Styela clava: one gene and its partners. The protein of the gene in region 2 purifies or fractionates together with the protein of the main gene of each other region. This does not show direct contact. Links are inferred from orthologs where the notes say so. Each region holds a gene or a part of one and is shown on either strand. Other genes may lie near its edges.

Region 1 (7,576 bases), on a different chromosome or scaffold from region 2:
CTCTTTTCGCGCAAAAATAGAAGACTGAATAAACTCTTCAAAAAGCTTGCCCACTTATATATAACGCATAAAACATATTTGGCGAACGTTTGCGCGATTTTCCAAATTCAATCGATATGGTCAAGTTACAAAGATATTTTGTCAACTCTGTAGTGACAGCTACTGGCATGTTTTTTATCTGTACTTTAACCAGGAGATACTGCGGGCTTTGGCACTAAAGATTGGCCTGAATTACGGCAAGTGATTTTTGAACCGAGAAGAACTGTGCAAATGTTAGAGTTCATAAGCAGATGGAAGGGAGTGTTTGCATTTGACTGAGCTATCCCGACATCTTTCTTTTTCATGACTAAATATTAAAATTTACCAAGATGCTATCATTGACAAACTTTACTTCAAGAATCGGCACAGCCAATAACAATTAGGAAACAGCAGACCCCGTACACACTATGAATAAAGCATCACGTCCTAGCAACCAGAAAAATCGTGCAAAAGAGCTTGAAGTCAATACTTCAAGCATATCAATGATTAAACCAAAAAACATGCAAATTATACAAGATCAAAGCATCATAGCGTAACATGACAATATTTTGTTAAATCATGGTGAAACAATAATTGATAGTAAGCAAAGAAACGTTTGTTTTTCCGTGAATCATTTAAGAATATAGCAATATGGTGTTTGAAAAGGCGTATGAATTTGTGTCTCACCGTGCATTATACATATGTCGAAATTTTTATTTTGGGGGAGGGTGGCCTTGAGGGCCATTCCCCCCCCCCCCCACAGAGAAAAAAAATTTCAACATATTCCTAGGTTGACACATAGCCAATTAGTAAAACTTGCCAAAATTAACATATAGCAATTTCAATTTCATCCAAATGTAATAAATTGAACAAAAAAAACTCACCCGCTATTGAAATCCATGTCCACAAAGTGTTTTGCAATTATTCATTGATTCATCCAAAGTACAAAAAGCTAAGCTCAAACAAAACACACCAACTAGTATATACAGCATGCTTTAAAATAAAAATAAAAACATCAGCAATCATGCTTCATAATTTGAATTCAGAAGATTATTACTTAAAAGGATTTTAATTCATCATACAAATCATAGTTGATATTGCCTTTCATACTGCTATACAAATACAGTGAAATAAAATCAAAAATTGAAAAAACTTCATTGCTAGCTCATACAATAATTATGCAGCAAAATAGTCCAAAATAACGGGAACATTTTTTTCTTCCAATCATGAACTTTAAAGAACAAGAATTACAACTTACAAACCACACAATCATTCATATTTTTGGGATACCATATATACACACCGAAAAGTAGGTATATCATGGTATCTACCTAAATCAAAACAAAATAAAACAAATCAACAAAAAAATATCATGCAGAAATAAATTTCAAAATCCAAACAATGACAAAGAAAAAAAAATAAGCTGGCAACAACAACAAAATGACACCACCATACAAATCAGTTCTGTAATTAAAAACCGAAAATTATTTGTCAGCAAAAAAATGATTTGTTCTGAAGACATGCAATGGTGACATAATAATAAACTGGCCTCCTCCAAACATTACATATTAATATGGTAATACTTCAAAACCTAGGCTAACCCAAAGCAATCTGATGTGAAATATACAACAGATGATGTGTTCAAAATGATGCCATCATGGTAACAAACTTTTCATTTTCTCTGTTCCCTGTTATTTTATTTTTCAACCACACCACACATACATGGAAGTTTGTTATATTAATTTTATTAATATATGATTTATAATACGTATCAGTTCAGACTTTAATAAGTAACTTGAAATATTAAATAAACTTAGTGAAATGAAGCATAGTAGAATTTGTTATTTATCGGTACTTGTATTCTGAGAACTTAAAGCATTTTCGAAAACTATTAACAACAAGAGAGCGATGCTCAAATATAAGAACACAAAGTTAAAAACGCTGTAGTACAAGTATGCAATCTGTTACAGTACCGTCACAATGTCATACAATTGTGGAAGACAGTCATCACGATGGCATAAAAATGAGTTCCCCTAATTAAAGATTACACCGCATTTTAGTTAAAATATCAAACAAATAACAACAAATAGTACGGTATAGCCTTCTGGAAAAAATACAATCTCTAACCACTGAAAATTTTAAAGCAATTTGTCTAGTGATTGAAGAGAAAAAATATTTTTTTTCATAATGATAGGAAGAAAAATTTTGACAAAAACATAATAACGAAACGATCCATTGGTCCACTTTGAGTCCAACATTAAAGAATATTACTTCATTGCTATAAAAAGTAATTTCATTTATTAAAAAGATGTTAAATATAAATGTCCTTGTTTATACAATAGAACAATCTGAAATCTCCATGTGTTCTTCTTTTCATGCATCCAACCAGTTCAGTTTTGTAAAGAACTGCCTTTACAGTAAAGTTTTTTCTTTGAAATGGTGATTTTCAAGAAAAGCACAATCTCTGAAAAAGTAAAGCTGTCTCAAATAATTTTTCAAAGCAGTCAATTAATCATCAAGCCAATGTTTCAATTTGTTTTGTTTTTTTATCTCCAATTCCAAGTTCTGCTCAATCCATATTGATAGAATTTCATAAACCTACTATAAATTAACTTCATTCAAATAAGCAAGTGAATCAAATATGCATTTGAAACCACAATGCTTTACCTTCTTTACCCTCAGCCTTTACAATTCAGTCAATGTCTAACATCAGCATATTTCATGACGAAAGATCCATCAACCACCTAATGCTGTTGATTAACGTGAGAATCATTCATTTCCCACTTCCTCCTCCATTTCTTCTGCTTCATTCTCCTTGTCCTCAGATCCGGGACCGGGAGGAAGTTTTTTTACGATTTCTAGAATCTCGTCTATTTGTTCTTCAGAAATTCTTTCTTCATTTTCTTCCACAATTAGCGAAATTTCAACAGGGGTCGTAGGTCGTAAATTCATTATTTGAAGTTTTTCTGCTTTTGACAAATTATATGGTGCCAATGCAAGGCATGCATCTTTAATGCACTGTTCATTTTGATTAATACATGGTGTTCCCTCCAGATATTTAAGAACTTCATATGTGATAGTTGATAAATTTTGATCTCTTTGTCCAGTTTTATGTTTCCCTGTTTTCATTTCTGCAGAATATGTTGTCAATAATCCATGCATTTCATAATTGGATAACATCATTGGAACTTTATCTGATATTACTTCCATTTTTTTACACTTTTATTGATATAATATATTATTTAATAGTAATACTATAAATCTGAAATTAATAAACAAGAATTCAGTTCAATTTCGGTAACCTCACTCAAGTCGAGAAATCATTCTTCATAGATTGAGTTGCAAGCAATCAATGCTGTATTCAGATTGCTATCTAACTCCCAATAAACATTCTGACAACAATGGCCAGGAGTTCTGGAAATAGATTTTGCACGAAATTTGCATTGATCTGAGTGAATACTGTGAGACAAATGGATATTAAAGAGTAATGTTAAAGGCTTAAAAATTATTGTACAGTACAGTAATAGCAGATTGGGAAAAAATACTCTTGAAATAAGTTGTTTTCTTGGGGTTACCCTGTGTAACACATAATAATTAATTCTCCAAATACAAAATGTCCACATATTCAAAAGGTATTAAAAATTTCTATATCGTCAACTGCAACTCACCTAACTGCTGACCTACTTAGTCTGTTAGTGTAAACTCAAACTGTAATATTAGTTGTAAGCCAGTTTCTGAGCTCACCACAAGGTTTCAGTCTTCGAGTTGCTGAGTCTGTGAGTTGAGATTTCTTTTATGCCGAAGAAAACCAAGACCATATACTGAGATATACATGTTCCAGCAGTCAATGTGCCTGACAAAGAAACTGGAATGACAGAATGAGGCCTATGACTGCAGGACTGTCTGACTGCTGCCTGCTGGACTGTCTGAGGGATACGGTACCGTACCGGTATGCGAACTGACGAATTCCATTTTTCATTGTTCCATTTTTTGGTTACAAATGCCTGAATACCGGTACTGGAATACTGAATACCGTACTGGAATTTAATTTATTGATTACTCACTTTTCTGAATTACACTCATATAGACTGTACCGGTACCGGTACCGGTATTGGCGGTATACCGGTACAGGTATAGGCTTGTCAGCTTGTAGACGGAGAAGTCAGAAGTCACCATCGCTACCAGTGAAATAGGCGAGATGTCTCTGGTGAGTTGTCCGTCAGCGTCTGAGCATATTGATGTTCTCACAAAGATGTCCTGACTGCCTGAACTACTAGTACACTAGTAATTGATGTTTACTGCACACTGATACAACTGGGCATCTATATTTTTCTAACCAAATGAACAACCAAAGACTTGCCAAAGACCAGACTCATCTGAAAAACAATCGTAGTGCAATGAGTCTACAATAAGAAAGTAGATAAAATAAACAGGATCTTCATGTTTACTCATGAGGAGAGGGCGGACGAAAAAATAACTCTATTATATGCAAAATTCATTTCTCGTCATTAATATAGGTAGAATATTGGTATATTTCATCATTTAAATTTGTGAATCTGATTCATGAATGATTCTATTGTCCCTGGTAACCCTTCTCTGAATTGTCTTCCTGCGGATTTGGAATTGGCAATTGAAACAAATGGGAATCAAAAGTATTGATTGGTCTACAGATTGACAGCTGAAGAACTAAGAAACATTACACAAATTCAAGAATTCCGCCATAAAGTATAAGCTGTGACGAATCCCCCGGAAGAGGCTTTATTTGTGGGATTCATTTACGTTGAGCTGGGCGGTTGGCCTAACAAGGGCAAAGGTCGACCCTAATTTTGATTTGATCTCTGGTTTGCGAAAAGTGGCTTATCTGAATAGGTACTGGACATTTTATGTATATAGTGTATAAACATCGTGGAAAGTTCAGACGCCCGAAATGAATTTTCAGAGTCTACCGTTTTAGTCTTTGTTTACAATTATTTGTGCGCGTGCGCGTTCCCTACATAAATACAACAAATTTTTATGTAACATTATTTCTCCATCAAAAATATTGCACATATGATAACCACGGCCACAAAATTTTTGTAGTTTGTAAAAAAGGTTGCCCTGTTCTTCTTTTGATCAGTTATTTCACATTAAATTGTTTTCAGAATAATTGCCCGATTTTGTATCGTGTGTGGTTATTTCGTTGTGTGCTTTAACGCTTTTGGTGGACGGGCGCGAAACTCTACGTTTTTAACTCTTTCTTGATATATGCTCGGCTTCCAGATCCTGCATTTTGTTTGTCCGTTTAGTGTTGTTTTGTTTTATAGCAGAGCGACCAAAATAAAATTGATTGATGAATGCGGTTTATGGTGAGTGTGGTAACCGGGTTGCGAGGACATGACAATCAGCTGGACATATTTTGACTCAAACATAATAGAAGCGACATTAACACACTGATAAAGCATGAACAACACATGTAAAACCAGCAATATCTAGTGAAAATTTTAAAAAAAGGTTCAAAGCGCAATCAAAAAAGTTCATGTGAATATGAGGATGAAAACACGACTGGATTACATATTATTTTCATACTTACACATTTGAACCATACACTAAATCAATCAATCAATCAATCAATTTTATTTCGGTCGCTCTGTTATAAAACAAAAACAAACGAACAAACACAAAACAAAGAGGACCTGGAGGGCGGGCATAACTTAAAGAAAAGTTAAACACGTGAAAATACGCGCCCGTCCACCAAAAACAGTCGAATAACACAATAAAACAAAAATACACGATACAGAATCGGGCAATAACTTCAAATAAATAAATTTGTGAATAACAGTGACAACAATGAGTTTATTTTAAGGGTCTTCATGTAACCAGAAAATGAAGTGATTGTAGGAATAACACTACAAATGGTAAAGGAAAATTGTGATTAGAATAAACAGGTCGCTTGAATGAAGACTTTGTTCGAACATTAAATGACTGATAAAAATTGTTGAAAGAGGTGCTTTTGGGTGTTGACCAACTAAAAAAATAGTGTTGTGATGGTGTGGTGTTTATAATAAACTATGAATCCTTTGGGACAAACATATACTCTCTATAACGGTACCGGAATATAACAGATATGTATCAGAGTAAATTTGAAAAGAAAAGTGTAAACGAATGAATAAAATGGACAGTGAAATTCGAAATATCTAAAGAACATAGGGCTATCAGATTTGAATACCTTCGGATGTTTGCAACGGCCATAGAGCCAAATTGACAACCATCTCAAATATATGTAGCACATTAGGCTACAAGATTGCCAATTCTGACTTGGCTCAAAAATACATCTAGCCGAAATCTCACAAATATTAAAAAGCTATTTTGTATTAATTGCAAGAGTGAATAAGTGGTCTCGCCCTATCCCATTTTTTTACGTTTCCAGTTTATGGCAACGTTGGTTGGGATATTTGGCATTGGAATCCAACAATAACAAGCAATATTATATGTTTTGATGGACATTTCACTTCATTTTACCTATATATACATATTTAGTTACTGACATGGTAATATTTTTATGATAGTTTTTACGTTACATATATAGCGTAACCATTGACAGTATTTTCAAATAAATGACTGATGAAGTACAGTAACACAAATATCTAATTTAATTATATCTCCTGTGAGATTTGAACGATTTCGTTGCCAATACTCAACATCCATTTCAGTTTATTTGTTTTTTGAAGCATTTTAGAAATATGACCTATTTATAACACAGGGATGGAGGTGTTAATAGCGCGCTCATCAATGTATATCTTCATTCTATCGTAGCGTAAGGTTATAAAACGTTTATAGCCACGATGCAAAGTGCGAGGTATATAAACATAATGGTTATGAAAATGGCGAATCGGAACTCATATATATATATATGGAGTCAAACATATCGAACCCAGAACTCTACTAGCGAATGAAAACGTTGCAAGAACGGGAAATAGGGAAAACAGGAAAAGGGAAATAAAATTCAAATGCCGAGCCTATAAAATAGAAAATTTGGAAAAAATGAGAAGCCATCTAATTACTTTTGATAACATTAAGGAACGGAAGCGAAAAACTCTTATTGAAATCCCAATAGAAACTATTAATGAAGATATACTTTTTAGGATAGGATAGGATTTACATATTTATCCCGGGGAGAGGAAAGCCGATAAGACGGCTTATCCATATGGCGAACCACGGCCTCTCGTCCGGTTACCATTCCAAGTCGGGAATGGGATTAGTTATATTGTTTGTTTTCGAAAGCATGGACTTGGTGGTGGAGGAAGCCAAGGAAACCAACCAGCGGTTACGTGAACCACCCAACGACGGCGAGGAGTCCAGCAATCATCTCGCACATAACCATCCCTGCATGGGATTCGAACCTGCGAACCCACGCAGAGTAATTAGAGGTGCGGTGGCGAGCGTATTCCTAACGCTTAGCCCGTTGAGCCACACCGTGGCATAATGAAGTAGCATAATTGATTGATTCGCGCTTTTGGGTAATTGCATAATAAAATTCTTCACTTGCATTATCAGACTATAGAACTGTGGTTTTGCAGCA
Region 2 (5,852 bases):
CCAAAATAAACCCGACCCGAGCCCGACTGATTAACTGGATTTGCAGGTCCGACCCGGGCCCGTGGGTATTAAACCTGAACCGAGTCCGACTAATTAACTGGATTTGCAGACACTTTTCTCGCTCAAGACAGATTTTCGAGCGTGGTCGTAAACATACCGCGTTTTTGAACTTTATTCGTTAGTTTTCAGTTGTGTTTCGGAAATATAAATCAGATAATTCAAATATCACTTTGTCTTCTTAGGAGTTTTAATTTAATTGCAGCAATAAAAAATTAGTGTAGAAAAAGCTGTCATAGACTTGGCTTAAATTCTTTGCAGGTACTTTTGAAAACAAAATGTTGTATGCAATGAATTATAATGATGGTTTGAAACAAATACCCCATTTTACTCGAAACCACTCTCAAAATAAAATAAGTCCCGAAAATTTTGCAATGCTAAAGTATAGGAAGAATATTTTCGAGGGTCAAAAGTCGGGGAAAAGTCCGTTACAGCTTCTTCTCTGTTTCATTCAAATTATTTCTTTTATAACAAGTATTCCTTAGTATCCACACATAGTTAGTCAGATAACTGAGGCCTACACGCGCCACAATATCGCATTGAGAGAATACCTTGACGCAACATTCAAGCGTAACGAGAGAACTGTGTAACATAAATAAACAAAGACGAAAAAAGCGTGAGCGAACTATATTAAGTGACCTATGTGTTACAGGCAAAAATTTCACTGGGGTGAATTAACTGTCATTATGGGCGACCTGTTTATGATGTGCTATTTAAATTACTTAATGGACTAAAGAAGGAGGGCGCAGCGCGCCGGGCGAATTCCGACATTCTTCCGGCGCAACGACCGTGGTGCATCCATCAAACCCTAGTATATATTTACGATCAAACTCATAATCAAACATCCACTTTTTATACTCAAATCTTTTCCTTACATTTCCCCTTGCGGGTAGCGTAGCGACCGTCCCCCGGGTGTCCTATTTATTAGTGTAGAATACAGTGCAATAAGGCTTGGTCTCATCGTTAGTCTCATGAATTTGTTAGTGTGCAGCAAGACTCCTAGATCACTTAGGATTGTTATCTCTACTCTTGCTACAGCATCCTTGCAATATATGCATACGGATCCACCGGCACAAAAGCATAGAAGAAGGATAAGTAGTCTTGCAGAAACCAAATAATCAGCGTATATTATTATTTGATATTATTAAGTTAACTATGAAAATACGGTAACTGGGGCTGAGAGTGAAATTAACCGGTTATCCACAGCGTGGCGCTAAAGATTATATAAACTGTTTCTTTAAAAAGTGGGATGAAGGAGTAACGGTACGGGTATTGATTTAATAGTGCAAATTTAATAGTGCAATCCTCCCATAATTGTTGGTATTATTGAAAGCTCAGATATGCAGGTAGATGTGTCTGTTCCGATGTAGGTATTTACATGCATTGGGGCAGTGTCATTTGGGTGCATATCTGAGTAGAGTATGAGTCCCCTCCCCGATATTCGTTCACGTCACATTTACGATCACAACCTTTCAGCACCCTGTTTTGGCCAAACTAGAAATAGTGATAGATTCCCGCTCGGTATACATAATCCATACCTACTCGCCTACCTACAGCTCGCTTCGCGTCAAATTTCGTCCAAAAATGAGATTTTTCTGGGTCAAAACGCCACTAGTGGTCGAAAATGACCAATTTTAGAGCACGAAACCTCTTTTTCTATTTCAGGAAGAACGGAAGCATATGTGGAGGTTAAAATAAAGATAGAGCCGTGAAAATTGGAGGGGAGGGAGAAATTTCATCCACTTCTTCCTTTTAGTGTTCAGCTTTTTAGTGACTTCAACCACATCAACACCCGTCGGGAGAAATTTCATCCACTTCTTCCTTTTAGTGTTCAGCTTTTTAGTGACTTCAACCACATCAACACCCGTCGGGAGAAATTTCATCCACTTCTTCCTTTTAGTGTTCAGCTTTTTAGTGACTTCAACCACATCAACACCCGTCGGGAGAAATTTCATCCACTTCTTCCTTTTAGTGTTCAGCTTTTTAGTGACTTCAACCACATAAACACCAGTCGGAAGAAATTTCATCTACTTCTTCCTTTCAGTGTTCAGCTTTTTAGTGACTTCAACTATCTCATTATTCGTCGGAAGAAATTTCATCCACTTCTTTCTTTTAGTGTTCAGCTTTTTAGTGACTTCAACCACCTCATTATTCGTCGGAAGAAATTTCATCCACTTCTTCCTTTTAGTGTTCAGCTTTTTAGTGGTTTCAGCCACCTCGGAAGAAATTTCTTCCACTGCCTCGTTTTAGTGTTCAGCCTTTTAGTGTTTTCCAATTTTTCACCTTCGGGAACACCTCAACTTCCGTTTTTCCTCCACCTCATCCGTTTCTTCTTTCAGCCTTTCAGTGTTGTCCCAAATATACGTTGTTGATCGCAATTGCCCCACTGACATGGTGAAAGTAGAGGCGGTATAAAGGGTTTTCCGGTCACGGTACCGGCATGATTTTAAGGGAAGTGATTGAGATGGATTTGTAGAGTATGTTAATGATAAAATGAAGTGTTTTCTGTGAATACAAAGCATATTAGAAGCATTTTGGTAAAAATGATCGCATAACGGGGAGGGGACTCTATGTGTATTAAATTTAAAATTTTTTGTTAAAAAAAAAAGAAACGGGTACCGTATTAATTACCAAATATACAGATATATGAGTAATTTCAATACTTTTTCAGGGCAAACATCGGAATATACAGATTTTGCATGATTGAATTTACATATTTTTTTGTAAAAACAAAAACTATTGTGACTGGCGAATAGGTGTCGAATTTTGCAAGTGACTGATTTTTCTCGATAAAAGTTGGTATTTTTTCACCATATTTTTCAAAGATTTTTTTTGTCAGAACTTGCTATACTTTTCTTTTTTAATGAAATTCTTTATTCTATGACAATTTTATCATTTTTAATAATACAAAGAGTAATACTATTTGACAATCTACGGTCGATCAACTCGCCTTTTACATTTATTTGACATTGAATATTAGGGGTAAAATATCGCGGATCAATTGAAGAATTCTCACTGATAGGACGTGTCAAATTCAGCAAGTGCATAAATAAACTGAGTCAAATAAACTTATACTACACTTTTTGATTTTCGCAATGGGGCTTGCCTGTTTTTTTCCACTGTGATTTTGTTTTTGTAACATACAGACATAGTTTCAATCCTAGCGTTTTATAGGTTGTTTCACTATTGCAGCCTGTGTTCAAATTCTAATTTTGAATGATGCAAAGAGACTCACTTGCTGTATTTGAATTGAATTAACATTTTAATGTCAGTTTCTACGACTGGAAGTCTGTATGAATTCTAATTCAGTCTTATAATTGAATTACTCAAATTTAGATTCTGATCTTATTTTTTTGGTCGAGCAACAAATATTGTACATTTGAAAAAAAAATGAAAATGAGATAAATTTAGCGAAAAACATACAATATTTTAACTGCATTGGACTAGTGGCTGCGAAAGACTATCAGTGTAAGAGAGAGGCTACCATTTTTCATCATACTATTTTAAAAGCCAATTATAAATTGTTTTATGGTACTAAGTTGTTAGAATTCTTGTTTTTGTTGTTAAATACCGGACTAGTTCTGTAGTTGCTTTAAAATTTGTATGCATTTATCTGTATTCAATTTGTTTTTTAAAGTAAACATTAAGCAATGTATGTATGTTTACTCGTCTCGTAAAAGCAATATAGCCTAAAATGATTAGTAATTATAAATACTGAAGACTGGATGTATGCACTTTTGCTTTTGATATGTATAAATTCTGAAATTGTAATACGGTAAATCAAATTTGTATAATATGGACTTTATACAGACAGTTGTGCAAGGAGGGTGGGTGTGTGTGATACCAGGGTGGAGTATACAAAACTGTTTACAAAATTAGGTTTTTAGAAAAAGCCTGAAACTTGACAAGTGCCTGGTGTTTTCATTAAGTATTCAGAATTGCCATGTTTTACTATTTAAATATCAATTATACATTATTGAATTGAAAGGAATATTGCGATATAGAAGGTGCAATTTTATTCAATGTCTAATAAAACTCAAACCCCAATAAACTACGAAAAAAATGAAAAAATAAATCTTAAAAGTGATTGAATTCGCAAGTGCCTGTTTTTAGAGAGACCTGTTTTTGAATTTTGTCCTATGATTTATTCAGATTAACTTTATAACTACAGATCCATTTAAAAGTAGGCATGATTATTCCTATAAGATGTTTCACATGTGGAAAAGTAGTTGGAAATAAATGGGAAGCTTATCTCGGACTTTTGCAAGCTGAATACACTGAAGGAGATGCGTTAGATGCCCTTGGACTGAAACGATATTGTTGTCGTCGCATGTTACTGGCTCATGTTGATCTTATCGAAAAACTTTTGAATTACGCTCCACTTGAAAAATAATTTGAATTAGCTCAACTTCATAAAAATTGTAAAGTATGGACAAAGATGTTTGAATTTTGGAATACGAAACTGTGAAATTATAGGTCAGCTTTCAATCCGGACAATGGTGAATCATTGCAATATCTGAATATTCTACTGTTTATATGAAACCTGAGGTATCAGATCAATGTAACTGATGTCTAAATGATGTTAGAAACCTATTGTATAATATTTGTTGCAGAGCATAAAACTGGCATGATCATATTCGTTATTTTTTAATATACGGCAGCATTGTATGTTATAACTTTTCATTTGTGAAGTTATTGCGAATTGTAAGCACCTATTTGTCATATTTTGTCTCAAGATAAGTGTGAGTTTCTGTGTGCTTATTTCATATGGACTTTTATTTACAGAAACTGTGTCATAATGTGTTCCACTAAATTGTGAATAATCTGGGAGGTTGAAAAAAGTGTTTTTTTCCTTAGATGGCTTCTTATTATGGTCGATTGTTTGTTAGAATTGCTGGAATATCTGGTGCTTCTGCAGTAGGATTAGCAGCATACGGAGCACATGGTATACATAAAGAAGATGAGCACAGAAAACTTATATTTGATAATGCAAATCGACAACATTTCTTTCATACTCTTGCTCTTCTGGCAGTGAGCCGATGCAAATATCCATTACTAACTGGAGCGATACTGACTACAGGAATGCTTGTGTTTTGTGGAAGTTGTTATTACCAATCAATAACAGGAGACAGTTCAATTCGACCCATAACACCATACGGAGGAATTTTGTTAATCGTGGGATGGCTGTCTATGGTGCTCTGACATTGGCTGTGTTACAAACACTATCTGTTATATTTTGCAGAATTTACCTTTTTAACATGTAAAATGCAACATATTTTGGGATTCAATCCATTTATGACAGTCGATCATTATTAATAATGTTTGAAATTAAATCTTTTCAATCATATGTTGTCCTAATTACTTTTTGTCTTGTATTTGTATTGTAGGTTTTATTAAATAATTTTTCTTTATATAAAAGCTGACAGGGTAGACATTGACTTTTATTAAGTATAAATAACATGGACAATCAAGGTAAAGCTATCTTTTTTTTTCAAATGCAATTTGTATCATTCTAAATAGTATAGAGAAACATTCACAATGAATAATAATAACATGTTATTATATTTTATCCCTTTAATTTTTTTTTTAAAAAGTATGACGGTAATCGCCGCCCATTGCTGAGCTTTTTGATTGTATGCACTATGCATATTATTAAAATAGTGTACGTTAAAGAGTACTCCTGTAGTTAGGGCTAGGCCCTAATTTTATTCAGATTTCCCATATTTCAGTTCTATTACGAGATTGGGGACTGTCTGTGTTAGCCAAGTGAATATACCCCCTTCACATTGGTTTCA
Region 3 (8,065 bases), on a different chromosome or scaffold from region 2:
GTGACTTATCAGTACCTGTATTGGGGTACCGTGACGGTACAAGGACTGTCATGGATATTTTAGGTCCTGTGACAATGATTCATTCTTCTTGATTATATTGAAACATCAATTGAAATATCTAGTGCTATAAGTCAATTATGTAATGTATCAGGTACCACAGCCAAACATTTCACATAAAAACGTTACTAAATAACATGCGTCAACTTAACACCACCTGAATTAGGGTACAACTTTCGGTACAGTGACTGTCATAGCTGTTTAGGGCTGATGGACAACCAGACTACACGGACCAGATAAAATATGTTATCGCAAGCACTACAGATGATATGCAGCAAATTGTGCGTATGATGATGTACCTTTATATTCATTCTGAAACTGCGTAGAGGGCACACGCCATCTTTTTCTGATGAAATGTAAGGTAATCAATGATAGGTATGGTCAATCAGTTTTCTATTCCACTAAAATAAATGCATATCCTTGGGATTCTATTACATATCTTGAAAACAACCAATCGACTGCAATGGAAAGGAATCAATAACAGATCAAATTTGACGATTTACCACGATCGATCGTATATAAATCATAATCAAAACAAGATAAAATTGAAAACCTTACCACGCATGTTTGTATCAGCAGAATAGCAGGTTGTTATCGCTAGGGCCATGTCACACCTTTTGTGGGCCCTTAGCACTTATGATTTTGGTCTCTAATATATATAAAAAATATTAATTACGAAAGTTGCGTTCTATGTTATCTGAATGAAGTAACTATCTGTTTTTATTACTAATTGCGGACTTTCATTACAAAAAGTGATAGAGAGATTCAAGATGATATTTGAGAATTTTTCAATCAGAACCTCACCCAAGCTGGTAGTAGTGTCCATACCAAACTGGAAACCTTACAGTATGGAAACTGTGAATCCTTCTACTCTAATACAAGTTTCGTGATGCATGAAGGTGTATTATAAAAAGCTTGTAACTTATTAATGAATTTGAGCATTGTGAAGAATTCAGATTCTTATTTTCACACATTGACATCCACTTAGTAATCATTTTCCAATTTCTGCTCTAATATCATTCCCTCCCGACTCAAGATGATCCATATCGTTTTGTGCTACATTGACCAAATCAGTCCCTCCAACGATGACCACATTCAATCTTACAACATTTATAAAAAGTTGTCATTGGCTCATCTGCTGATCGAGTTTGAATTTGCATGAAGAATGCCCTTTTGTGTTCACATTTTGGACAAGTCTCTTCTGTTGAATCAACATTCTCCCATGCAGCAGATCCACCTGGAAAACCAAAGAGATGTGAATGACTGAATTTAAAATAAAAAATATACAATGAGATTTGCAACATCGAAAACCGAATGAAAAGCTGCAAAATAAAGGGGATTCAAAAGTATTATTTGTGAGTACACAGGATGGGAATTTCATATTTATCCGAAGGGAGAGGAAAGGAAAGTGGATGATTGATTAATAAAATGGCGTACCACGACCTCTGATTTGATTATCAGTTTGTCGGGTATGGGATTGGCTAGCTAAGTTACCAGATGTTTCAGATGCATGGCCATGATGGTGCAAGGAGGCCATGACTGACCAGTGGTTACATGAACCACCCACGGGCAGCGTGGTGTCTAGAAGACCTATCTCATGTAAATACTTTCCCCGCTTACGTTGGATTCGAATAACTTTGGGACTAACATCATAAAATGAATCTGATTAATCTTTCAAACTCTAATATTCAGAATCACTAAGTATATGAATGGTAATAAAACCCATCTCAAAAATATTAATACTTTAAAAAAGACACTTGGAAATTTTAGAGACAAATCTGACAAAAGACATTATATTGAAAAAGACACCATGAGAACTAGTGTGATCTCATAAAAAATTTTGTGAGATTACGTTTGGTCTACAGATATAGACATTCATACCTATCTACATAATGAGGTTATTAGCGAAGATGAAATACATAAATATTCACTATTGAATGATTCCAATCTCTGGAAAAAATGCATTACAAATATGTTCAAACAAAGCAATCACGGCCACTGTATTAATAGATACCCAACACATTTCAGATCACTATATCAAATATGGTTAATTGATTAGCTGTTTACAAAACTGGCTTGAGCTATGGATAGGATACCACATATGATTATTCACTTCGGATTGATATGAAGTTTCTTACCCTATTACGCATACACTCTAGGACTTTTAGTGAACTTCGAAATAATCATAAGAAATTTTTACATTAGTAGTTGGTACACTTACCTAACACATCATCCACCTCCTTTAACTTTGGATATTTCCTTGCGCTTATTCTTCTATTAATATTATGAATGAATGGGCAAGTTGGGCAAGCAAACCTGAAACCAAAAAAATATTGTGAAAATGCAAACAGCACGAGAGGGCTGGTTCACTGAACACCGCCAAGTATATCCAGTTGGCATGGCATAACTATTTTCGCATATGTCATTTCTAACCCCCACCTGACTACGTCATCCAAAAATTACGTCATTCCTTTTTATCCAAATTATTATATTTCATACTGGCAAATATCATATCAAAAAGTTTTCTGTAAAGCGAATTATGTTCGGTTTTAGCCATCCCTGGTATTAGATCAGATTCAAAACACAATACTGCCAATAACTTGGTATGATGTGAACTCAACTTAATAACAACATTTCAAAACATCACATTTTTGCTTCAAGTCTCAAATTATATCCAAAATTGTGACATTCCAGTACAGAATATGAATAATTCAATTGAAAGGTCAGTAAACCAATAGAAGCAAAAAAATTCTATTTCAGTATTTTTAATCGACAAGCTATAATTCCAGCATCCAAAAGTTACTGAGTTACCTATCAGTAGTTGTAATACAGTAATAGGAATAAATGCAAAAATGTGGATTTCAAAATATAATTAGAAATCTATTGATAAAGTGCAGTACCTGTAACATCTAGTCCCCTCCTCGACTGTTAACAAATTCCCGCAAGTAGGGCAGAACAACAACATTGCCAAATGATGAGAACCCTAATAGCAAAGTTGAATCAGATAGTTAGATCAGAACATGCCTATTGTAAATATGTTTTACAAGGTTAAAGCAAATGTTGAAATTGAAATGTCTGTAAAGTGAATGAGGTAGTACAGTAGTGGGAATTCAAAAAAATAAAAATTAAAGCATTTGTTTCACAGCTCCAGTACAGCCCAACGATTAACATACCGTACAGCCGGTGTGCTACAGCATTATGATGATTATGTGACAATTTTTTTGTGGCATCGGAAAATCATTTTGAGGTTTGACAATCGGTTCCCACGCGGAATATTCTTATTTTCAATAATACTGTATTTCTTTTGAGAAAATGGATCCCACCTAAAATTGAATTTTTCGAAAAAAAATATTAGACTTATACATCATATAAAGTGCGTGATTAAAAAGACCAAACACACTTTACGTCGTTGCGTAAATGCTAGATGTTCGATCCCGGTCGCCATGATAAGGACGAGGATAAGGATAAGGATAAGGATGCTTATTGTTATTTGCTCATGCTTATTGTATTATGTACTTGTATCGGAAATAAATCATTATCTATCTATCGACCTTAAACTTTCCAGTGCGGCACTTTCAAGTTGTTTTCATACTAAAATGTCTCGTGGTATTTTCTCTTATCGTAACTTTAGATCCAAATATTCCCCGATCATAGCCGATATTGTTTTGATAGCTCTTGTACGCTTAGGAGTTAATGTGAAATTGTTTTGTTTACATCACTTTTCTATTTGCGCGTAGGATGGGATTTTAATGAATAAGGTCTATTCATGGTTAACTGAATGGTCTATATAGGTAACTTTAAATTAAATTACTTTCGTTAGGGTTCATTAACCTGAACTCACTTGCAACAATGATTGTTGTTATTTTTCGCTGGTTATATATATTTTTTTATATTTAAGCAGTATTTCTTGACTTCTCACGATTTTTTCTATTTTAAACTATGTTGCCGTTCCAAATGGAGAAATTTGAAATCATCAAATCGAATGAAAATGTTTTTCGTTAATTGTGATTTTTATTATAATTAATTAAATTATCAGTGGTTGACGCCATGAATTTAAGATCCACAGAAAACTTTTGATGTATATATTTTAGTCGTTGCTATTTTAAAATCGCAATTCAGCCGAGATATAAACGATTGATAATTCCATCCAAAGTTACCCGATTTTACGGTACGTGAACCACCACACGGCGGCGAGAAGCCCAGCAATCCTCTCGCACAAAACTATCCCTTCATCCTCACGGGATTCGAACCCACGCAGAGTAATCAGAGATGCGGTCACAAATTTCAACTGTTACGTCATCGTTGACTTTTTGCTGATTGGTCATTGTTACGGAAATCGATGCCCTCGGCCTCGTCCAGTTTAGAGATGTATCGGTATCGGCTAAATGTAGACCGATATTTTCGATATATTCAGCTTTTTAATCCGATTCAAAATGTCTTAAAATTAGTTGTAATACGGATGTTGAAATTATTATTTTTTTGCGTGTAGGGATCATGTCCGCGGTAATTCGTTAACTCTGGCTATGCTCGTTCACACCCACACAAGTAGAAAAGGGAATAGGAATTCGACCTGTTTTAGCTATTTATCAACCAAACTAGCTCAACTAATTTGGCTATTTTCGCTGCCAAAGTTTTACAATGACATTTTCAATATTACATGCAAATTAAGTAGAAATATATCAATCAATATTAGTGGATTTTTCAATGTGTAAAATGCGAAATAAGATGTTATATTGGCACAGAATCCAACGCACGCAACTCGATGTATCAGTTTTATAGGATGAGTAAACATTTATTCATGCTACCATCAATAGTAGCCAAACCTACCAGTTTTCTAATTGAACACCGAGATTACTCGCGTCAGTGCACAATGCATCCGAATACCTATTTTTCGAACTGAAATATTGTGCATTATGAATAATGCTCACACACCATCGTTTTAACCAGTCTGCCATTCACACTTAATAGTAATAACTACCTGGTTCCGGTATCAGACTATTGGCTTTTTGAAATATCGGTATCAGTGCACCTCTAGTCCAGTTACCAATCCATGTCGGTTAGGGTTGTTAGGTGGACCACCCACCCCACGGCGTACCCTCCCACATAATTATCCCCACAGGATTCGAACTTGCGAACCGATGCAGGGTAATCAGAGGTGCTGTGGCGAGTGTATTCCTAACGCTCAGCAGAATACGCCACACCAGTTTGCTGATAACGGGTGAGAAAGAGTTCCATTCACCTTAAATATCTCAGAACAACAAAATGAAAATAGACAACGTTCGTATTTGTACCATGTTGCAAAACTTTTGTACTATTTTAAAATGTGTATCGATGATGATAAAATTGGCAATGTTACATAGATAAAAATTACAGAATTCTGATTTTTTAACATGGCATAAAAAAATAATTTTGAAATGGCTATTTCGACAAAAGATATAGACACCATCAAAATTGGACATAACTGGTAAAAGACCACAGATGATGGATATAACCAATCATAATTTCTTTACCATAACAAGTTTGGATAACAATATATCGATACCGTATGACCACTTCTGAAATAGGGCAATCTCACAGAGGGAACACTACATTGGGTAACATCCCCCAGCAAATTTGAATACATTTTCAATACAGTCATGTCAAATTTGATGGTTGTAAGATTCCTTTTGTTGAAATAACACAAGGAGATAATTCATTGATTTATATCATAATTAGTATATTTAGTTGATATATATTACAGAAATAAGCTAAGCAATTCATGAAAATTCATTAGAATAGGCAGAAGTAAAAAAATGATATATTGAAAAAGGAGCAATGAAATACCACACGTCATGACAAAAATTTCGTTTGATTTATGATATATATTTTTTTGATACTAAAATAATTTTTTCTCTTATTTTTGGAATAAAACTGAATAGACAATAGTAGATATAGTTTTATTAAGTCTGAATTAACCCATAATGCCACATATTCAACAAATATTGATTATATAAATAAACTTTCGTAGTTTGTGATACAATATGGAAAACAGTTTTTAATCAATTCAATACTGTCCAACCAAAAAAAATTTGAGAAATATAAAATGTTTAAGTAATCAAGAGCGTATAATGTATACGAAATATTTCATAGATAGGACAGAACACTTTGCTGTTCTGTTCATCAGAATAGGACAAAAATTTATTCTCTGTATTTTGCCTAACAGTAACAATTCAAGTCCAGTAACCAAACTAATACTAAAAATACACCAAAAAAAAATTATAAAAACAGTCCAAAATTGATGAAAATGCACATCCAATCAAAGACTTTTAGACTTGACTGGAAAAATCTTCTAATGAGCTTGATGGCCTTTATGTGTTTGAATTATAAAGTATGTTTATATCATGTCATGCCTTGACCATAAAATATAATGTATCAATGTTTACAAAAAAAAAAGAATATGATCATTTTGCAAACAAATGTCCTAGGTCATGTTGTCATTTAATAACCGAATACACGCTAAAAACTAGACTAAAATCTGAACTGAATGCATTTATTCTTATACCTTTTGGTTGTTTTATGAGATAAATGGAAGGGGACTTGTCTTAGTCATAAACATACCAAACAAAATACAAATGTGGAATGGTGTCTAGGACAATGCAAGCGTCCAAAAAAGACTAATCCTGTTCACAAAATTGAAAATTATAAGTCGAACCTAAACACTTTTTTGTTTGATTCAATTGAACACTTGTTATTCCAAAAATCTAAAATGTACTAGTGCATTAGGTGCGAGTGGTGGACTATAATTGAATGGTGCACAATTCTTAACATGGTAAGAAAGCCAAGTTGTTTGTATATCACTCTTTCATTGATTACATCAATTTCCCAACCAATCGGAATGCAATTGCGCAATTTTGGTCGTTAAATGGAACAGATGAAAGAAAGCGATGTAATATTACTACAAATAGAAAAAGCCAAAAATGCTAAAAAATGACTTAATTGATAGAAAAAAAAGTATTATATTATTATCAGTACTAGACTTAATAATAATATTAGCAAAATAAAAAAGCATACATGATTTGTTAGCATATCGAAATCAGTAAAATTTTAAGTATCAGTAATATGCAAAGTAAAAATTGAAACAAAAAAAAAAAAAATTAAACTTTTTATTGTAAACATTATCAGTAACATCTTCATATCATGCTTGTACCATACCAAAAATAGTGTATTATCAGCTAGATAGATCTCAGCTGTAACATAGAATGCTCTCATACGGTTTCGATTTTAAAAAATTTCATGACAGAAAAATGCAAATTTGATAATATGAACTACTTACTACTCTGCTTAATATCAACAATATGCCTTGAGTGTGCATGATAATTAGATAAAATAACAAGTACACATATTTTTCAATGACTCGTAGATAAAAATAATGTTAAGTACTGTAAAAGTTCTGTAACTTTGGTTTCAAATGCAATAGTGTTACTCTTCATATATAAAAACAAAGCACCATATTTTTTCGTACCATAGTCACGCAAATAATTTTCTAAAAATTCATCATACCGATAAAAATTTAACTTTATTGTGCATTATATATCTATTCATGCATGATCAAGCATGAGTCAATAAAGTAAAATGGCATTTTAACACGGACCGTCTATGACCCACACTTGAAAAAAACAGCTTGACATTACCTAGTAATATACAACATGGTAGTAAAAAAATTTCAACATTTTCTGCAGATTTGGCATAATATTTCAAAAAATTGATAATTTTCTGAATTTTTTTATTCAGAATATAGTCGCCATGATGTCTGATGTTGCAATATACGTTTGCTTGCAGCCTTATCTTGTGCAGTTTTATTGCGAGTTCTTGCTGCTTTTTGCATGGGGGCTGAAGGTCCAAATTGTCGTCGTTTGAAAAATCCACACTATGAAAAAATATATAAACTTTAAAAACAATTACTTTACGCTGAAACAGAAGCGATTTGTTGACGAATGATCCATGCAACAACTCACAATAACTATCAAAT
Region 4 (8,663 bases), on a different chromosome or scaffold from region 2:
CCTGTGACCTTGCTATGCTCCCTGTTTAAAGAGTTAGTTTGTATAATTGTTCAAAAAAACGTATGATTAACAATTTTGTTCCTGTAAGCAGTATCCAGAATATGATCATATTTAATAAAATTGATACACGTGGCTGTGAACGGAAGTTTTAAAGAAACAATTCAAAGTATCTTACAGGACAAACTGCACACGGGGCTCTTGTCATGTCAGTTGCTTCAACAAGAGAATGTACAGCTTTGTATAATTTGTTTGTTCCATCTTTAGTTCCTACAACCATCATTTCTACCTTACTATCATAAATCAAGGTGTTCAATATTGTTTCAATATCTTCAACTGACAACTTGACCTGAAAAAGAAAGATTATTTTTTGTCCACATTCAATTATTAAAAACTATTAATATTACAAAATCATATTTATTATTGTATCGCGATCCAAATCTCAAATACTATGAGAAATATTTTTGGGAAAAAAATCGAAAAAAATCATATTATTGTGAATAATTAAGCTGGAAGCATTATGAAAATAGGCTGTTTCAACCTCTCATAAAATTATTTGTTACTAGTTTAAAACAACCCTAGTTCAAACTACATTTCAAATGATCAACCAAAATTATAAATATTATGTATGGATATGACATGAACATACCTTGCTGATTCCCAAGTTTGAAATAAAATTTAAAACTTCTTCAGAAGATGCATAAGAAGCAGCTTGTCTTGCATTTGGGCTAATAGCAGTCTATAACAACAAAAGTAGTAAGAATAGAATATCACTAAAGCATTCGTTCGCTTGAAAGGAGGAATTTATCAAAGTAAATATCCATGAAAGTGTTACCGTTGATTTGACTACACCGAGCATGGGTTGCAGATAGTACACCAGATGCAATATTTAAATAACTGGCAAATGCAGTAATTTTACCCTTCATTAATTTTTGAAATTTTCTTACTCCAAACCTTTCCAAAATATATGTCCATATAACATATGACATTCACAAGGTATTGAGTACAAGACAAATAACAAAAATGTACACTGCAGAAATATAGTACCACCATAAGATAGGCCTAGTTATTCAGTGTACGAATAATATGAAGTGGTCCCAAACCTCACTTGCAGCGCTCTCCTCTTTTTGTTGAAGAAATTTGTAACATTGTTGATTCAAAACATCAACGAATTCGGATTCAAAATCTTGTCCAGAATACCATGCTCCACCAGTTATTGAACTATCAGGTTCAAGATTGAAAAGCATGTATACTTTCTTTTTAGAAGCCTGAATAAAAATTGAATGAAATTACTACTGTTTGAAATACATATTTATTAAAATAAAAATTTAGGACATAATAAAAAATAAAAATGTTTATTGAAGAATCCCATAACAATCCTACCAACTGAAAGCAGAATTAGTCGCTTGTACTAGTCATGAGTTGAATATGTAAACAAGTCAACAATCAGGATGGATCGTATTTTCAAATCTATCTTTATAGGAAATACAGACGAAGACACTCAAATATACCACGATCTACAGCCTCCAGTTACCAGACCACTGGACCAGGTTTCTTTATGGGAATGTTTTAAAATCACTTTCTTAGATGCTAGCTAGAGAAAGCTGTAAATAACTGGCATAGAGTCCAAAATCCACTCACAGATTTCATAATCAGAAGCACACTGGCAACATGACAGACCTTGGTTATCAGTTATCGACTAGAGATAATTTAGTTTCAGTAAAAATATTGTTGTTCACCTGCTTCTAGATTGATCTCGTTACAATAAACGTGACCAAAGCTGGGCAGGAAATTAATATAGCGATATTTTATTAAACATGCTGTAACCATTTAGATAGCAACACCATGGTGCAAAATCGCAGCCAAAATTGACAAGTTTTACACGATACCAGATTTTTATTACAAAATTCCACCATTCAAATAAGTTTGCTATGACAGATACAACCTGGAATAAGAATAGTCACAGATTGCAGTATTAGGACGTCTCAACAAAAATACAAGACTGCAATGAAAATACCGTGACAGATTTGACAGCTTTGATCAATTTCCTGTTTTCTAAATTCTTCAATATTTTGTTAACTTCCGTCAACATTAAATTACATCTGTGTCGAATATCTCGAATCCATATTCCTTTATTACCAGCACTTTCTATAACTTGATACACAAGTTTATCTTGATTGTCAATTCCTTTGATTTGGCTGTAATTAGTAGAAATGTCTCCCATTAATATTATGCCATGGCAGTAAATCCAAAGTAGCTAATGTCATATTTTCAAAAAAGGACTCTTTGATCCTTTTGACTAGGGGCCATCGTCTGTGGCGAATTTACTTTTAGTTTATTCAGAATCTTGCCAAAAAAGTGAAAAGGCTATTGTCCACCTGCTTCTAGATTGATCTCATTACAATAAACGTGACCAAAGCTGGGCAGGAAATCAATATAGCGAAATTTTATTAAACATGCTGTAACCATTATGATAGCAACACCATGGTGCAAAATCGCAATCAAAATTGGCCAGTTTTACACAATAACAGATTTTTATGACAAAATTCCACTATTCGACAACAAAATGATTCTTGTCAATTCCTCTTTTCCAGCTGTTTGATACTATGGTAATACATATATGTCATACAAAGCAAATAGATTGAACTTGTGTATAATGTTAGTATAATGGGTGACTATATGAACTCTAGACCCATGTTTCGTCACAAACCACGCAAATGGGGAAATCATGTCATAAAAGTTAACAAAACATATATGATCCAAAACCAAGCACAATGTGGATGCAGAATAATTTTCATTACAATCCAACACTCTAGATACCTTGCTCCGGTTGTACATTTCAATCTGTATATCAATCCAGAAGTTCCTTTCAGAAGTTCTATCTTTCCCTGAAAACCCAAGTACAGAACATTTAAGATATATTTAAGAAATCTCCAACAGGTGGGCGAATTTTGTTTTAGTGTAGTTAGAATCTTGGCAAGAAAATCATTGTCCACCTGCTTCTAGATTGATCTCATTACAATAAACATGACCAAAGCTGGGCAGGAAATTAATATAGCGAAATTTTATTAAACATGCTGTTACTATTATGTTAGCAACACCATGGTGCAAAATCGCAATCGAATTGACCGACACATTCACAAATAATTAATGAAATTTTATATTAACAAAAATTATACTGAATACTACAATGTTATATTTAAAACAAACCAACCATTGTAAGCAACTTGTTGATTGCAGCAACTCTTTCCTTTGAGTCAATTTGAGGTTCTTTCTTCTGAATGAACTCATCACCGATTCCTTTAGGATATTCAGCACACATTGCCAATATTCTAGACAGAAATATAACACTCAACTCAAATTTTATTAATCATTGATAACCATGCACAGAAGAAATATATGGTTATAATCAGGAATGACGAAAATTATCGAAAACCGCATTATTTGCAGAATAATTAGCAGTATCTGTCACTTATTCTTGAGTGAATAATGGTGTCAAGCCGCCAACAACAATGCATTAGAATGTTGTTGTGATTTAAGATCATAGTCTGCTCAATGAAATCAACTCAATATGTTCTTTGAACTGGTATAAACATACCACTACCATACTATGAATTTCAGAGATCCTGTTGACAATAACTCTAAATAAAGAAGTACTACCTGTCTTCCAATGGCAGTCCACTACCCTCTTGCATAGTGACTTCCATTGCCATGATGAATGAAGTTGTCTATAAAATTATTTTATACATACATAGCCTATGTAGTTCAGTCCATGTCAGATATTAAACTAAAAAGTACAAAACCATTGCAATTGATATAGAACAGATGTTTCAATAAACCAATAAATCTGATTATGCTGGATTTCTATGATGATCATAAAGGTTTCTGGAATCAAGTGATGTGCATTTATTTTATAGACAACAGTATTGGTCAAACATTTAGATTTTATGATTTAAAAATATGATGACAGTCACAAGGTATCACAACAAGCAGATTCAAACAACATATAGATTATAATGTCTGGCACAACAACAAAAAAATGCAGTAGCTAAATAAAGAAATTATGAATAAGTTTCAGCAGCAAATGATGCAAAAGAGACAGCAGAGTCCAGTGGTGCAGCCAGGGGGTTTTCGGGGCCTGAGTTGCCATGGAACACATTATAATAAGTTGGAACTATACCATAGTCACTGAAGATAAAACAGTCAATTATGCATGCCATCAGTTAATAAATTATCGTCAGGGCCACACTCAATTTTTTTTGGATTATGCTGATACTGATGTTCAATCAATTTTTTATTGTACTAACATAAACTGTACTGCAATTTTATCACAGATTTTGTGATTTTATTATCAGCAATAACAAATTTGCGTGGTCGCAAAAATATGAATCCAAAGTAAAATCTAATTGTAGAATTCATATCACATTTTTATATCCACTGATTGCCATGGTATTTTAGAGTTCAAATACAATGTTATTTCTATGTGAAACGATGCAACCGCAAGATACGTTAACCACAATTTTAATGAGTAGCATAATCGCATCAATTGTTTCCTCATGCGTTACATGGGTATTTCTGACTCCGACCCCGCCCCACCCCCCCCCCCCCCACTCTACGCTGCAAAATCCTGACTGTGCCCCTGGGGATGTCTACTGCATCCTCAATTTATAAAACGAAAAGCCAACGCAATAATGCATTGGCAAAATAGGGACCACGTCAAACAAAATAAATATGTGTAAAGAAAACATTCCATACTAGTGCTTTCAATTGCCTGATTCAATAAGTGAATCGCAGTGTGAGCAATCAGAATAGTCTACAAAACTCCTAACTGTTATACTTATTTACAGTAGTAGCCTATTATAATGATTCTCAAATAGTTTTAGGAAACTTCCATCTCTCTTTCTATTCCAACATATTTTACTGCATCAGATTGACTGTAGCTGTAGTCGAAGAACAATTCCTCTCCTGCTTGTATCGGGCAATTTGAGAAAATTCCAATACGATGATCACCATTTACCATCATCACTTTAGCATAGCAATTAGGATGAACGGAATGATTGGCAAATCTAATTTTGTTTCCTTTACGAGTGGCATCCACAACAAAATCATTATTGAGATTAAACAGAAAGCTACACATGTATTTATCGTAAACTTTTCCACGACGATCTGCCTCATCCTGAGATATAATTTCTCCGCAATATTCAGAAATGAATTCATTTTTGTTGGGCACATCTTCTTTTATATAAATTCCCCATCCGGCAACATCAGATGGAGCCAAAAGTAGATGCTTATGGAGACCTCTTTGTATTGAAACATTCTTACAAGAACATTTACTTGCATTTGTGCCGAGCTGGTCAGCACCACAAAGAGAGCAGAGGTCTGGATCACACTCTCTCACTGCAAGATAACATGGGCATTGCTTGGTGTTACATTGAGCTTTACAACGACATCCTGGAAAGCGATTATGACAATCAGACGGACATTGGCAATACTTTTCGCAAAAATTTCCAACCATAATGCATTGACAATTGCTGTCGCAAGGCTGTCCTGGATGATTACAAGGCTGGTAATTGTAAACATGATTGCTGGACGAATCTCGTTTCAGTTGTATTCTTCTAGCATGGAGAGACCAAAGTCTGTGCTTCCTTTTTTTCTTTCTGGGAGAAGCTGAATCTCTCAAATCATGTTCATGTGGATGAGGTTGTGAACCGCTGTCATGTTGCGAGCGTGTAGCTTCAAGTAATGCAAAGGCATAAACTTCTTGGCAAGATTTAGTTTTAATAAGTTTCGAAATCGAACAAAAATTGTTTGGGTAATTTGTTCTTAATACCCGATACAGAGTTGACTCTGCTCCATCCCATATAGTTTTAGTCAAATTTTCAGGAACGAGTTCAAGAAATGATGTCATTGATTGTGTTGTAGGTAGTTTTTCAGTATCTGTCGCATCTGTATCCATCTCACTCTCACTTGGGGCAGGGGTACTAGGTCGACTTCCACTGCTGCTCCCACTTCTTCCTTCGCCTTTAAGCTGAGATTTCTTCTTTGACAATCCTCTCTGCAAATGTCTGTGAGGTTTCTCTGATATTTCACGATAATCTTGTGCACCTTCAAGGTGTTGGAAACAATCAGCACCACAAGGTTCTGTAGGTGTTCTAACATCTTGAGTTTTTCGTTTACTCGTTTTAATAGGTGGTCTATAAAGATGACTGTGTTGAAAACAATCATATTTGTAACAGCGTCTGCAAAATAATTCATGAAAAGAATGCAATGCTTGCTCCCTTTGTACTGATTTAGCATTTGCACCATCGATATTGGGAGTGCATTCAGGAGGTTGTGCATCGGGATCCATCAATTCAGTCAGCTCCTTATATTTATCTTTTAAATCTTCACCTGAACCTTTATCAGGAAAATAATCAGCAATAGCATCAAATATTTCATCTGCAGGAAATGTGTTTGTACCAGAAGCAGATGACGAGTCTGAATTTTTATTTTGCTCCGCATCTGCAGTTTCCTTCTCTTTCGCTGGATCTGCATCTTCATTGCTTGATTCGCTTGTAGTGTTGTCTTGTGATGCTTCATTTGCAGCACTATCAGTTCTGTAACGACTTCTCAAAGGACGACGTTTACGACTGATATTATATTTATTCAGTGCATCAACAAGATCAACAAATAATTCATCACTTAGAAAACCACCTTCTCTGTCCCCATGCACTTTACCATCATAATTCATAATCAACTCTTCTAAAAAACTTCCATCTTTATCCAAAGCTTCGTCCCCCATATATGGAATGTTATGTAGAATTGTTTCATCTTCAACCATGAAATCCTGTTGAACTGGGACCCATGTATAATAAACAGGAAGACTTGGCACAGCTTGCAGTGTACATAAAGGAACAGACTGATCACGGAAAGCATGAACACTACTTTTCACTGTACAGCATCGAAGGAATGGTCTATTTGTAAAAACCGGTTCTGAATCTGGTTGTTGTACTTTGTACTTTTCATTTGTTTGTTCCAATTTTGAAATTCTTTCGTTCAATTTTACTCTGTTATTTATGAAAGCTTGTTTAATTTTGTCACTACGTTGATATCTCTTCGCCGATCTAAGCGTGATGTATTCACTTCGTACAATTTTTTTCCAATCCATTTTGTTCTTAACTAATTAACTAAGCAGTGACACAAGCTGAAAATAACAAAGAAGCATAGTTCAATAAACTTTAAAAAATAAGCTAATATAGCCGCATACCTGTCAAGTGAGACAAAATAACAAAATAAACGGAAAATTACTACTAATATAATCTTGGTGAAAAACAATTTGTGTCACAATGCAGTACTATTTAAATTTTCCAATTTGATTTTTTTTTGCTGAAAAATATATGCTTTTCAATTCACCAAATTCTTATTACAAATACATAGAACAATCCATAAATTCCATCTTAATAACATTGACAGATTATTGAAAACCATACCCATATAAAAACTGTTTCAATAATAATATTCTAAATGAAACATAATTTAAAATTAGTGGGGACTCATTCACTACTGTAAAGTTTGACCCCAATTGGGAGAAACAAAATGATGATTCTATGTCAATGCATAATACTATAGCCTAGTACACAGGTTTCACAATCAATTCTAATTTTCAAGATTATTTCGATATGATGTGAAACAAAAGACAATTGAAGTTTTAGAGATATAAGTTTGATGAATATAACTATAATGAGAGGAAAATCATCTTTCTTCCATTCTGACTTTCGGAGGTTTGAAAGGTGCCCTCGTGTCTTTTTTCTTCTTCTTTTTATCCTTCTTAAAATTTTGCCAACTGGAAACTCTACCTTGACGACTTTCCTCAAAGTTTTTATCCCATTCTTTCTGCTGCTTCGCTTTTTCTTTTTCCTCAGCTTCTTGTTGCGCTTTCCTTTTTCTTTCATTCATTTCTCGAGTTTCCATCTCTTTACGAACAATCGCCATGTCAGCAAAAAGTTTACAAGTTTCTTTGTGTAGTTCTGATTCATAAACATGCGGATCATCTTCTGGTATTTCAGCAGGTTTTCCTTCCTTTTTCAATTTCTTCCTTTTTTCTTTCAATTTCGTTTCAAGTCGTACTTTTGCATCTGAAACTACACCTAAACATTTTTCTCTTTCTTTATCATCATTTAGTAATTCCCATGCTTTTTTGACAGCATCAAATGACTTTTGTGCGAGCTCTTTTTGTTCTAAATTTTTATCTGGATGAACAAGTATAGATAAGCGTCTGAATTTCTTCTTAACATCTGGTAGAGGAGTTTCTGGCGTAACTTGTAGAACATCATATGGATTAAGATTAAAATAAGTTGATCCAGGTCGATTTAAACGATCAATCTGTTGTTTTGGTGTTAGTACTGAATCCGCGGCTTCAATTCTTTTCACTTCGGACATATATGTATTGAATGCATCTTCAGCCTTTGGATCAGAACTGGTTGAAGCCATGATTAAGATTGAAATTCACCTATTTACAACATTAGCTGAAAATGTAATTGAATCATTAGGTTTTAACTTGCTGACTTAACCAATCACAGAATCAAATAAATCTCAAACAAAAAGCATGGTCCAGATGAAGTTAGGAATTACACCAAAATATAGTTGATAGTACTGTCACACTGCAGTACATGCATCATGTTGAATTC

What was found.
Region 1: the proteins of DNA-directed RNA polymerases I, II, and III subunit RPABC5 (region 2) and DNA-directed RNA polymerase III subunit RPC9-like purify together in Homo sapiens (affinity purification with mass spectrometry; 3 studies listed by BioGRID and IntAct, with this or other methods). This does not show direct contact. The link is inferred for Styela clava from reciprocal best matches to the Homo sapiens genes POLR2L and CRCP.
Region 3: the proteins of DNA-directed RNA polymerases I, II, and III subunit RPABC5 (region 2) and DNA-directed RNA polymerase III subunit RPC10-like purify together in Homo sapiens (affinity purification with mass spectrometry; 3 studies listed by BioGRID and IntAct, with this or other methods). This does not show direct contact. The link is inferred for Styela clava from reciprocal best matches to the Homo sapiens genes POLR2L and POLR3K.
Region 4: the proteins of DNA-directed RNA polymerases I, II, and III subunit RPABC5 (region 2) and DNA-directed RNA polymerase III subunit RPC6-like purify together in Homo sapiens (co-immunoprecipitation; 3 studies listed by BioGRID and IntAct, with this or other methods). This does not show direct contact. The link is inferred for Styela clava from reciprocal best matches to the Homo sapiens genes POLR2L and POLR3F.

What each region holds. Positions count from the first base shown.
Region 1 is NC_135255.1:9,168,014-9,175,589, forward strand, and holds DNA-directed RNA polymerase III subunit RPC9-like, read right to left. Parts: upstream 3,289-7,576; 5' UTR 3,229-3,288; coding exon 2,788-3,228; 3' UTR 2,686-2,787; intron 2,483-2,685; 3' UTR 1,012-2,482; downstream 1-1,011. UniProt on the Homo sapiens protein: DNA-dependent RNA polymerase catalyzes the transcription of DNA into RNA using the four ribonucleoside triphosphates as substrates.
Region 2 is NC_135252.1:12,675,084-12,680,935, reverse strand, and holds DNA-directed RNA polymerases I, II, and III subunit RPABC5, read left to right. Parts: upstream 1-4,181; 5' UTR 4,182-4,246; coding exon 4,247-4,450; 3' UTR 4,451-4,914; downstream 4,915-5,852. Other genes in the region: transmembrane protein 256 homolog, read left to right, coding at 4,915-5,259; nucleoporin NUP35-like, read left to right, coding at 5,517-5,529. UniProt on the Homo sapiens protein: DNA-dependent RNA polymerase catalyzes the transcription of DNA into RNA using the four ribonucleoside triphosphates as substrates.
Region 3 is NC_135259.1:10,998,544-11,006,608, reverse strand, and holds the start of DNA-directed RNA polymerase III subunit RPC10-like, read right to left. Parts: upstream 3,176-8,065; 5' UTR 3,023-3,175; coding exon 2,958-3,022; intron 2,374-2,957; coding exon 2,279-2,373; intron 1,295-2,278; coding exon 1,128-1,294; 3' UTR 1-1,127. UniProt on the Homo sapiens protein: Core component of RNA polymerase III (Pol III) which synthesizes small non-coding RNAs using the four ribonucleoside triphosphates as substrates. Can mediate Pol I proofreading of the nascent RNA transcript.
Region 4 is NC_135251.1:26,464,124-26,472,786, reverse strand, and holds the start of DNA-directed RNA polymerase III subunit RPC6-like, read right to left. Parts: upstream 3,800-8,663; 5' UTR 3,711-3,799; coding exon 3,658-3,710; intron 3,330-3,657; coding exon 3,212-3,329; intron 2,886-3,211; coding exon 2,818-2,885; intron 2,196-2,817; coding exon 2,015-2,195; intron 1,266-2,014; coding exon 1,101-1,265; intron 737-1,100; coding exon 647-736; intron 347-646; coding exon 176-346; intron 1-175. Other genes in the region: histone-lysine N-methyltransferase EZH2-like, read right to left, coding at 4,877-7,144; dnaJ homolog subfamily C member 8-like, read right to left, coding at 7,729-8,466. UniProt on the Homo sapiens protein: DNA-dependent RNA polymerase catalyzes the transcription of DNA into RNA using the four ribonucleoside triphosphates as substrates.